Linked DNA regions of Canis lupus familiaris. The protein of the gene in region 1 purifies or fractionates together with the protein of each later gene. This does not show direct contact. Links are inferred from orthologs where the notes say so. Each region holds a gene or a part of one and is shown on either strand. Other genes may lie near its edges.

Region 1 (4,518 bases):
GATATAAGCAGCCCTCACGACTCTATTCTCTTATCTGGCTTTATTTATTTCTCCTTCTTGAACTTACTCATATATTTTGTCTGTCTGCCACGCTGGACTAGACTAAGCTGTAAACCTGTCTTCTCCATTTTAGTCACGGTGCTACCATTCTTCTAGTTGCTCAAACCAGATGCCTGGAATGTAGCTTTGAGTCCCCTCCCCCTTTCCTTTCCACTGCTGCTCACTCCTATTGCTAAAGTATATCTGAAACATTTCATTTCTTACACTCTCCATGTCTACTGTCCTTATCTGTGATCCCATCATCTCTTGAGTCTCCTCTCATTGATACTTGTTCTGCATAGGAGCCAGGGGGCAAGTCTTTTCTAAAAATGTGATCAAATTACTCCTTAAAGTCCTGCTATGTGTTCCTATTGTACTTTATCCCTTGCCTTACAAGGCCCTGTTTACCAATGCAGCAACACTACATGCCATTTATCCCTTGTTCACCTTTTTTTTTTCTTTGATTCATTTGTGCTCTCTATCCCCCTGCGTAGAATCCCTCTCTTCCTACTCTTTTGGTTAATTCCTCCCCCATTTTTAAGGACTCAGCTGAAATGTGACCTACCCAGAGATATATATGCCTTTACCACTGTATTAAAATAGTTTTTTCCAACCTCCATTATTTTCTGTCTCGGACCCTATTTGATTTCTTTGTATCATTTCATATTTGCTTGAAAGACACTTTTAAGAAAATGAAATGGTAAGTCACAGTCTGGGAGAAGGTATTTGGGTGGGATACATGCATTCGACAATGGGCTCATCTCCAGAATAAATAACTTGTAAATCTATAATATAAAGGAAACACAATCAGGCAAAAAGATGGGAACAAATGCCTCACAAAAGAAGATGAATGGCCAATAAACACATGCAAATATGCTCACGTTAACTGTTCGAGGAGTTAAAGTCAAAACCACATTGATAGACAATGATGGCAAATTGACCAATGTAGATCTACTGGATCTCTTCGTCTACCGCTAGGAATGCAAAACGGTACGTCTGTTTTTGAAAACGGGTGGCAGGTTTCTGTGGAGTTAAACATTCACTTACCATAGGACCTACACGCCCTGGGGGAAGCAGTTACCACCCATATACATTTTTCAAAACTCATGGAATCGTACACTTAAAATTTGCGCATTTTATTGAATCTAAACTTTGCTATAAAAGCAAAATGGGGGGAAAAACCCCAAAATGATAATCAGAAAAGTTCCCGGGGGGTTGTCCTCGGTCCTTCCGGAGGACCCAGAGGGACCCGGTCGCGGGCGCCTCCAGATTGGCAAGCCAGGCACTCGGAGGACGCGAAACGAAAGCTCGGGAAGAGTGCGGTTGGCCCGGGAGGCGGGGCAGCGGCCGCGCACCCCCACACCCCTGGCCCGCGGCCGCCAGTTGCGGTTTCGATTTCCCATCCGCAGTTGGGGTTCCCCGGCGGCGGCCCCGCCTCTCAGCGCTGGGTCTGCGTCCGCTGCCTGAGATCCCTACAAGCCCGGCACAGGCATTTAAGGGAGTGAGCGCGGGCGAGGTGCGGACGTCCCCGGGAGCTGAGCTGCAGAATGACGGCCGAGGAGCGGCGAAACCTGCACGCCTTCCGGGACTATGTCATCAAGACTCTGGACCCTGCCTACATCCTGAGCTACATGGCCCCCTGGTTTAAGGATGGTGAGTGGTCCCCAGGGACGCCTGCCCCTCGGAGCAAGGAAACCACTCAGGACTCTGTTCTCCCCTTTTAATCAACACAAGTAGCATGCTAGGAACGCGGATGTTGAGGCAGGATCCTCAGGATTGTAGCCTGGAGTTCGCCAGGACAGTCTGAGGAGCCTTTAGGGGTCCAGATGGAGAAACAGCCCCAGAGAAGGGAAATGACTTGTGTAGGTGTGCACCTCTATTTAGGTTCAAGAAGGGGGAAACAAACCATTGTCCATTTTACTTTCTCTAATGCTTAATGTCTACCGTGTCTTCAGCTTTGTAGTGACAATAGAGATTCAGGAGTGAGATGTAGGCCCCTCTTTAAAATACTTTGCAGCCCAAGATTTTGTGGGAGTGGAGACTGCTGAGTATGTAAATGATTGCAAAATGCTTCAAGGTAATTGACAGTGACTTTGACAGTGACTCTTGCCGAGTCTTCTCTGCACTTAGGAATTACTGGAAGCTTGCCAGGGGTAAGAGACTCTGGGCTGAATGGCTGCCGGCTTCATTTCAGGTGTTTCTGTCTAGATTTTGGAGACACCTGATGATAGATCTTTGTTAATTTGAATCCAGGTGCACTGCACTGGAGAGGAACAGAGGCTTTGAGGAAAGAGGAAAAAGGAGGTGATGCCTGGAAGGAGCTGAAAGGAGAAAGGGGGATCTGGTCACTCCTTTTCAGGCTCCAAGTGCGGAAATATCAAGTGGCAGGACATGTGAAGGCAACCATTTGGTCATTGCCCCAGACATGGAGTTAGTGTACAAAGTCATGTGACCACCAGCAGTTTGGTGGATAGTTTTCTGTTCCTCGGCCTTGTGTGTGTGTGTGTGTGTGTGTGTGTGTGTGTGTGTGTTTAGCTCCTTTTGCCTTTTCTCCCATATTTCATACTGTCTAAGCAAAAACCTGGAAAGAGGACCATGAAAGTATTTCTAACTCTGCTTTCTGAGTCTGGTGTAATTAAAGATGCCATGGAGTGGTCCCATCTCCTTTATTGTGGGTATACTTTTTCCACACATTGTTAAGAAACTCTCTTTTTAAAGGATTGCCCTAGAATATGTTCCCAGACTTCCCACCAAACTAGAAGAAACTTCTAGAGAGGATGCAGGGTGGAGGGAAGGTAGGTTGATGAAGAATGAGCATCATCTGCCTGAACAGAGACTTTGCTGCCTTCTTGCAGTTCCTTCCATTGCTGGGATTTGTTACAATCGCCATCCCCATTTTTTTTTTTTAAAGATTTTATTTATTCGTGAGAGAGAGAGGTAGAGACATAGGCAGAGGAAGAAGCAGGCTCCTTGCAGGGAGCCGGATGTGGGACTCGATCCCCAGCCCAGATCCTGGGATTGTGCCCTGAGCTGAAGGCAGACATTCAACTACTGAGCCACCCAGGTGTCCCTTGCCATCCCTATTTGAGAAAGTCTGACAACCCTTTTCAGGTTTTTTTTTTTTTTCTTCAGTGATTAGTGGTTCTGCAGTTTGATGAGCCACTCTTCTATTTGTAGATGAGGTGCAGTATATTCAGGCTGAGAAGAACAATAAAGGCACGATGGAGGCTGCCTCACTTTTTCTTAAGTGCCTATTGGAGCTCCAAGAAGAAGGCTGGTTCCGTGGCTTTTTGGATGCCCTTGGTCATGCAGGTTAGTTCATTCTTCTTACTCATAAATCAGGATATTAACTGACTGTTTCAGAATGCGGTAAAAGTGAAATGCTATTAATTTTGAGCTATCCTCATGTGCTTCATGTTGCTTAATCTGAGGCAATGTAAAGATTACTTTCAATCACGATATAATTTGCCTACCTGAAATATCCAAAGGAATCTGCAGATTGTTGGGAGAGTTTAACAAGCTTATTAGATATAAGATTAGTATACAAAAATTAATTGCATTTCTGCACCATACACAAAAACAAACTCAAAATGGATTAAAAACTTAAATGTAAGACCTGAAACCATAAAATTCCTAGAAGAAAACATAGGCAGTGATATCTTTGACATCAGCCATAGAAACATTTTTTTACATTGATCTACTTTAGCAAGAGAAATAAAGCAAAATTAAACTATTGGAACTACATCAAATAAAAAGCTTTTGCACAGCAAAGGAAATCATCAACAAAATAAGACAACCTACTGATTGGGAGAAGATATTTGCAAATGTATCCAATTAGGGGTTAATATCCAAAATATATGAAGAACTTATACAACTCAACACCAAAAAGTCAAACAATCTTTTTTTTTTTTTTTAAAGATTATTTATTTATTTATTCATGAGAGGCACAGAGACAGAGAGAGAGGCAGAGACACAGGCAGAGGGAGAAGTAGGCTCCATGCAGGGAGCCTGATGTGGGACTCAATTCCGGGTCTCCAGAATCAGGCCCTGGACTGAAGGTGGTGCTAAACCACTGGGGCTGCCCCAAAGTCAAACAATCTGATTAAAAAATTGGCAGAATGTTAAGCAACTACAAAATACTAAATAAAAAGTTTGGCAAGCCCCCCCCCCCCCCAAAAAACAAAAGACAGAAGACACGAATAGACATTTTTCCGAAGAAGACCAACAGACACGTGGAAAGATGCTCAGCATCACTAACCATCAGGGAAATGAAAATGAGAACCAAAATGAGATGTCACCTCACACCTGTCAGAATGGCCAAAATCAAAAGCACAAGAAATAATAAATGTTGGTGAGGATGTGCAGAAAAAAGAATCCTAATGCATTGTTGGTGGGAATGCAAACTAATGCAGCCACTGTGGAAAACAGTATGGAGTTTCTCCAAATATTAAAAACAAAATTACCATATGGTCCCATAAT
Region 2 (3,810 bases), about 48 Mb from region 1:
AAGTTTTATCTTATTTTTCTTCTTAATTCCCAGGAAACGTTATTAATCTGTTCTCTATAAATCTGTTATCATTTCTATGATATCCTGTTCTTCTATCAAGGATGGAAGTACTTATTTGGATCTCATGGAGGATGCGGACACTCTCATCCTTCCCCATGTTCCTTCTTGTCCATACGCTGCGATTTTTCCCCAATGGCTGGCAACCACGGCAGTCTGATCCTAGCAAGGCATTATTAAGAGGAGGCTGCCAGGAGGAACCCCCTGAGGGGCCAGGGCCATGATTCGCTTTCCTCTGGAGGGTGATGGGGCACCTGGCCAGGCAGTGGGATCCTGGGTGGCAGAGCTACAGGACATTGCCCCGGCACGCATGGCCTCTCCCGAGCAGGGACACCTCAGCCCCTGCTGGACCGACTGCTCACTCAGGCTGCCGCCTCGCCCTGTGCCCTCCAGCATCTAACCATCAGGTCTCATGCCTGGGATGGCAGGGACCATCATTCGGCTGACCAGCCAGTAATGGCTACAGGATCCTGAAGACTGGTCTTCAAACACCCCCAATTCCCTGGCCTCTGATGCCTCCACACAGTTGCTCACCACCCTCAAAATCCACTGCTTGTCTTTCAAAGTTTAAGGTCATCTTACCTCGTCATCTAGGACTTTCCTTTTTCTTTGTCTGTGTTGCTTTATACTCTTGTGTTTAATCCCTTTATTGTCACTTTGGTAGAGTGAGGAGCAAACAGAGATAAAGACAGGCTTAGTTACCAATACTCCCATCTGCAATATTTAAGTCCTTTTTCTCCTTTTATCCTCTCTCCGACTTTTTTTTTTTTTTAAGATTTATTTATTCGTTTATTTGAAAGAGAGAGAGAGCAAGAGAGAACACAAGTGGAGGGGCAGAGGGAGAAGCAGACGCCCCACTGAGTAGGGAGCCCAATGTGAGGCTCAGTCCCAGGACCCTGAGATCATGACCTGAGCCAAAGACAGACGTTTAAGCCACTCAGATGCCCCCTCCCTCCAACTTTTCATCATGAAAGGGTCAAGCAGGGGCACCTGGATGGCTCAGTAGGTTGAGTTTCCAACCCTTGGTTTCAACTCAGGTTCTAATCTCAAACCCCATGTGTCCAGCTTAGTGCTCAGCTGGGAGTCTGCTTGGGATTCTCTCTCCCTCTGCCCTTCCCCCACACCTGCACACGCACTCTCTCAAGAAATAAACCTTTAAAGAAAAAAGGAAAGGTTCAACCAAACAAAAAAGTTGGAAGAACAGTACAGTGAACACCCATACACCGTCTAACTTTTCTGTGTGAGCAAATGACAGGACCTTTGTAAAGGAATCAGTGACTACAAACCCAAGCCAGAGCAGTCCTGTGACTCCATGGTAGACCCGCTCAGCTGGTTCTTATGGCACCTACCAAACAAGGTCTTGGGGTTTTACTTTGAAACCGCTGAGTCACTGCACACAGTCTGCCCTCTGGGAGGTATTACTGTCTGTCCCTCTGGGCCCCTGCTCTGGGAACAGTCCCTTCTAGGCAGTTAGCAGGATGAGTCATCCTAGCTGTCAGTTCCTTGTAACAAAGGAAAATACCTATAACTCTAGAGTTGAATCAATTCCTCAAGTGGCCCTCCTCAACTGAAACCCTCAAAGGCATACTTACTGAAACTTCCCTTGTTTTTCTGGACAGCTCTAGGCTCCTCCCGAGTTGGTACAAAGTAACTCCATCCACTTTGAAAGACCTGAAAAGGCCTTTACCCTTATCCTACAACACCTGAGCACTGCCAAAATTATTCCCGTAAGTCCTGTGTAGGGAATTTGGGTCAAGCTCTAAAACATGCCCCCAGCGCAGATGGGCCTCAGGATGGACAGCAAGTGCGACCCAAAGTCACTGGCAAGCCTTCAAAACACACAGATCCCAGGCCCAACCCAAGACTAATTTACCAGGATCCAGAATGTTGACCTGGGATTCTGCACAGCTTCCCGTGCCCCTAAATCACAACCCATTAGAGGACCATCTCTCAAAGTTCAACACAGCCTCGTGCTTTCGTCACCACATCTCGAGTGGCAGCCGGGGTTTAGCAATAGGCTTATCTCCCGATTATGACCTAATCACTGCTCCGTTTTTATCCTCCTTAGAAAGCACTAAGAACATCAGCGCTCTTTTCACTTTCTCTAAAGAGCCTTTGACTCCAGTCCCAAAAACAGTATATGGTCTGAGCTATTTCACGGAGCAGCAAGGCCAGGACATCACTGCTGCTTTGAAATTGTGTCCTGGCCTTGAGGAGTGGCAGCTGAAACGGTATCCAGTGGGAGGCAAGAGCAGTCCTGCCTCCCTTCCCATCTGCATCCTTTCAGACAGGCCTTCTAGGCCACCTGAGCGGACACTTCCTGCCACCGCAGTCACAGAGGTGAGCGCTCTTCTAGGCAAAGATCACAGACCTGCTGTAATCCTGCACCAGAGATCACCTTTGTCATGGACTCCCACTGCCACAGGGCCCAGCCCTGCAGCGACCACCGTCAGGGCTGCAGATGCAACAGGTGCCTTCTAAAGCCTTGGGCCAGGCTCACCACTCGGGGGTACCTGCTTTGGTTCACCCACCCAGACACTTCACACCTGAACTGAGGGCCAGGTACCGGGCATCATATAGAACTCCCGCCTCCCTCATGCCCTGCTCCCTAGCATGGGCACAAGCCTGGTACTCGGCAAGCACCAAAAAGGCTGGTACTGCAAAAGACAAAAGGGAGGAAAAGAGAAATGGCCTCTCAACTAATGACTCACCCAAGTCCTTGAGTAAACCCTGGGCTGTTTGTAGGGTGGACGTGAGGAGCAGACTGTCCTCTGTGGGAAGAACAGTCAGAGGCTGACAGGCCAACCCCGTAGCTCAGCCTACTGGGATTATCCCAACCAACCACTCTGATTCCACTTCATTCCATGGGGAAAGCTCAAGAATCTGTCAGGGAATTCAAATGAGTGGCCTGCAGTGCCGCGCTATGGCAAAGGCCTATGTGACGCTACAAGGGCACGGCAGTTAGCATTCCTCTACAGCAACCCAGGGGCCAGCCGCCCAAAGCCACCCATCACCCAGCACTCGGAGTTGCTGCCACTCCCAAAGTACAGAGGCAGCCACTTACCCAAAGGGCTCAGGGCAGCCGCCACACTCTCCCCGACATTCTTGAGGAAATTCACACTGGGATCCTCCGATGGACCAGAAACTTTGGTTTTCAAAGAAACAAAAACATTCAATTCAAAGCAGATTTCTCAAGGACTTGAACACCTGTTACAATCACATCACCTTCATCACAGGGGCCATCCATCCCTGGGACCCTGCCCCTCCATCGCCACCATTCTGGGCTGCTCTGTGACACTGCTGTTCAGAAGCCGGGGGGGATTCACTGCATGGGGTATGAAATATGGACCCCATTCTAGCTCAGATGTCAAATATCAAACAAACAAACCTCCTCACCTTGGTTCCAAAGAACAAGGTAAACCAGAGGAACAGAAAAATAATAAATTTAGAATAAAACCAGAATCTAAAATTCTGAAACACAAGTTATATGTTAAGTGTTTAACTCTGTGAATACGCTTAAAAATATTTCAGCAGGATGCCCTGCTGGCTCAATCAGTAGAACATACAATGCTTGATCTCAGGGTCGTGGGTTCAAGCTCCCAGCTAGATATAAAGCTTACTTAAAAAAAATAAATAAATAAAAAGGCTTGACAAGATGGGGTGTGGTTTAGGACTGGGCCGAGTCTAAATCTAGTGTAGGTGAATCAGTGGCCATGGGCCATCAGGAGCCTCCATGTCCTGTGTGCAAAATGA

Evidence for each region.
Region 2: the proteins of DDX58 (region 1) and SQSTM1 purify together in Homo sapiens (affinity purification with western blotting; 5 studies listed by BioGRID). This does not show direct contact. The link is inferred for Canis lupus familiaris from reciprocal best matches to the Homo sapiens genes RIGI and SQSTM1.

Annotation. Positions count from the first base shown.
Region 1 is NC_049232.1:50,025,916-50,030,433, reverse strand, and holds the start of DDX58 (antiviral innate immune response receptor RIG-I), read left to right. Parts: upstream 1-1,418; 5' UTR 1,419-1,586; coding exon 1,587-1,692; intron 1,693-3,216; coding exon 3,217-3,351; intron 3,352-4,518.
Region 2 is NC_049232.1:2,128,854-2,132,663, forward strand, and holds part of SQSTM1 (sequestosome-1), read right to left. Parts: intron 3,203-3,810; coding exon 3,122-3,202; intron 2,829-3,121; coding exon 2,769-2,828; intron 1-2,768. UniProt on the Homo sapiens protein: Molecular adapter required for selective macroautophagy (aggrephagy) by acting as a bridge between polyubiquitinated proteins and autophagosomes.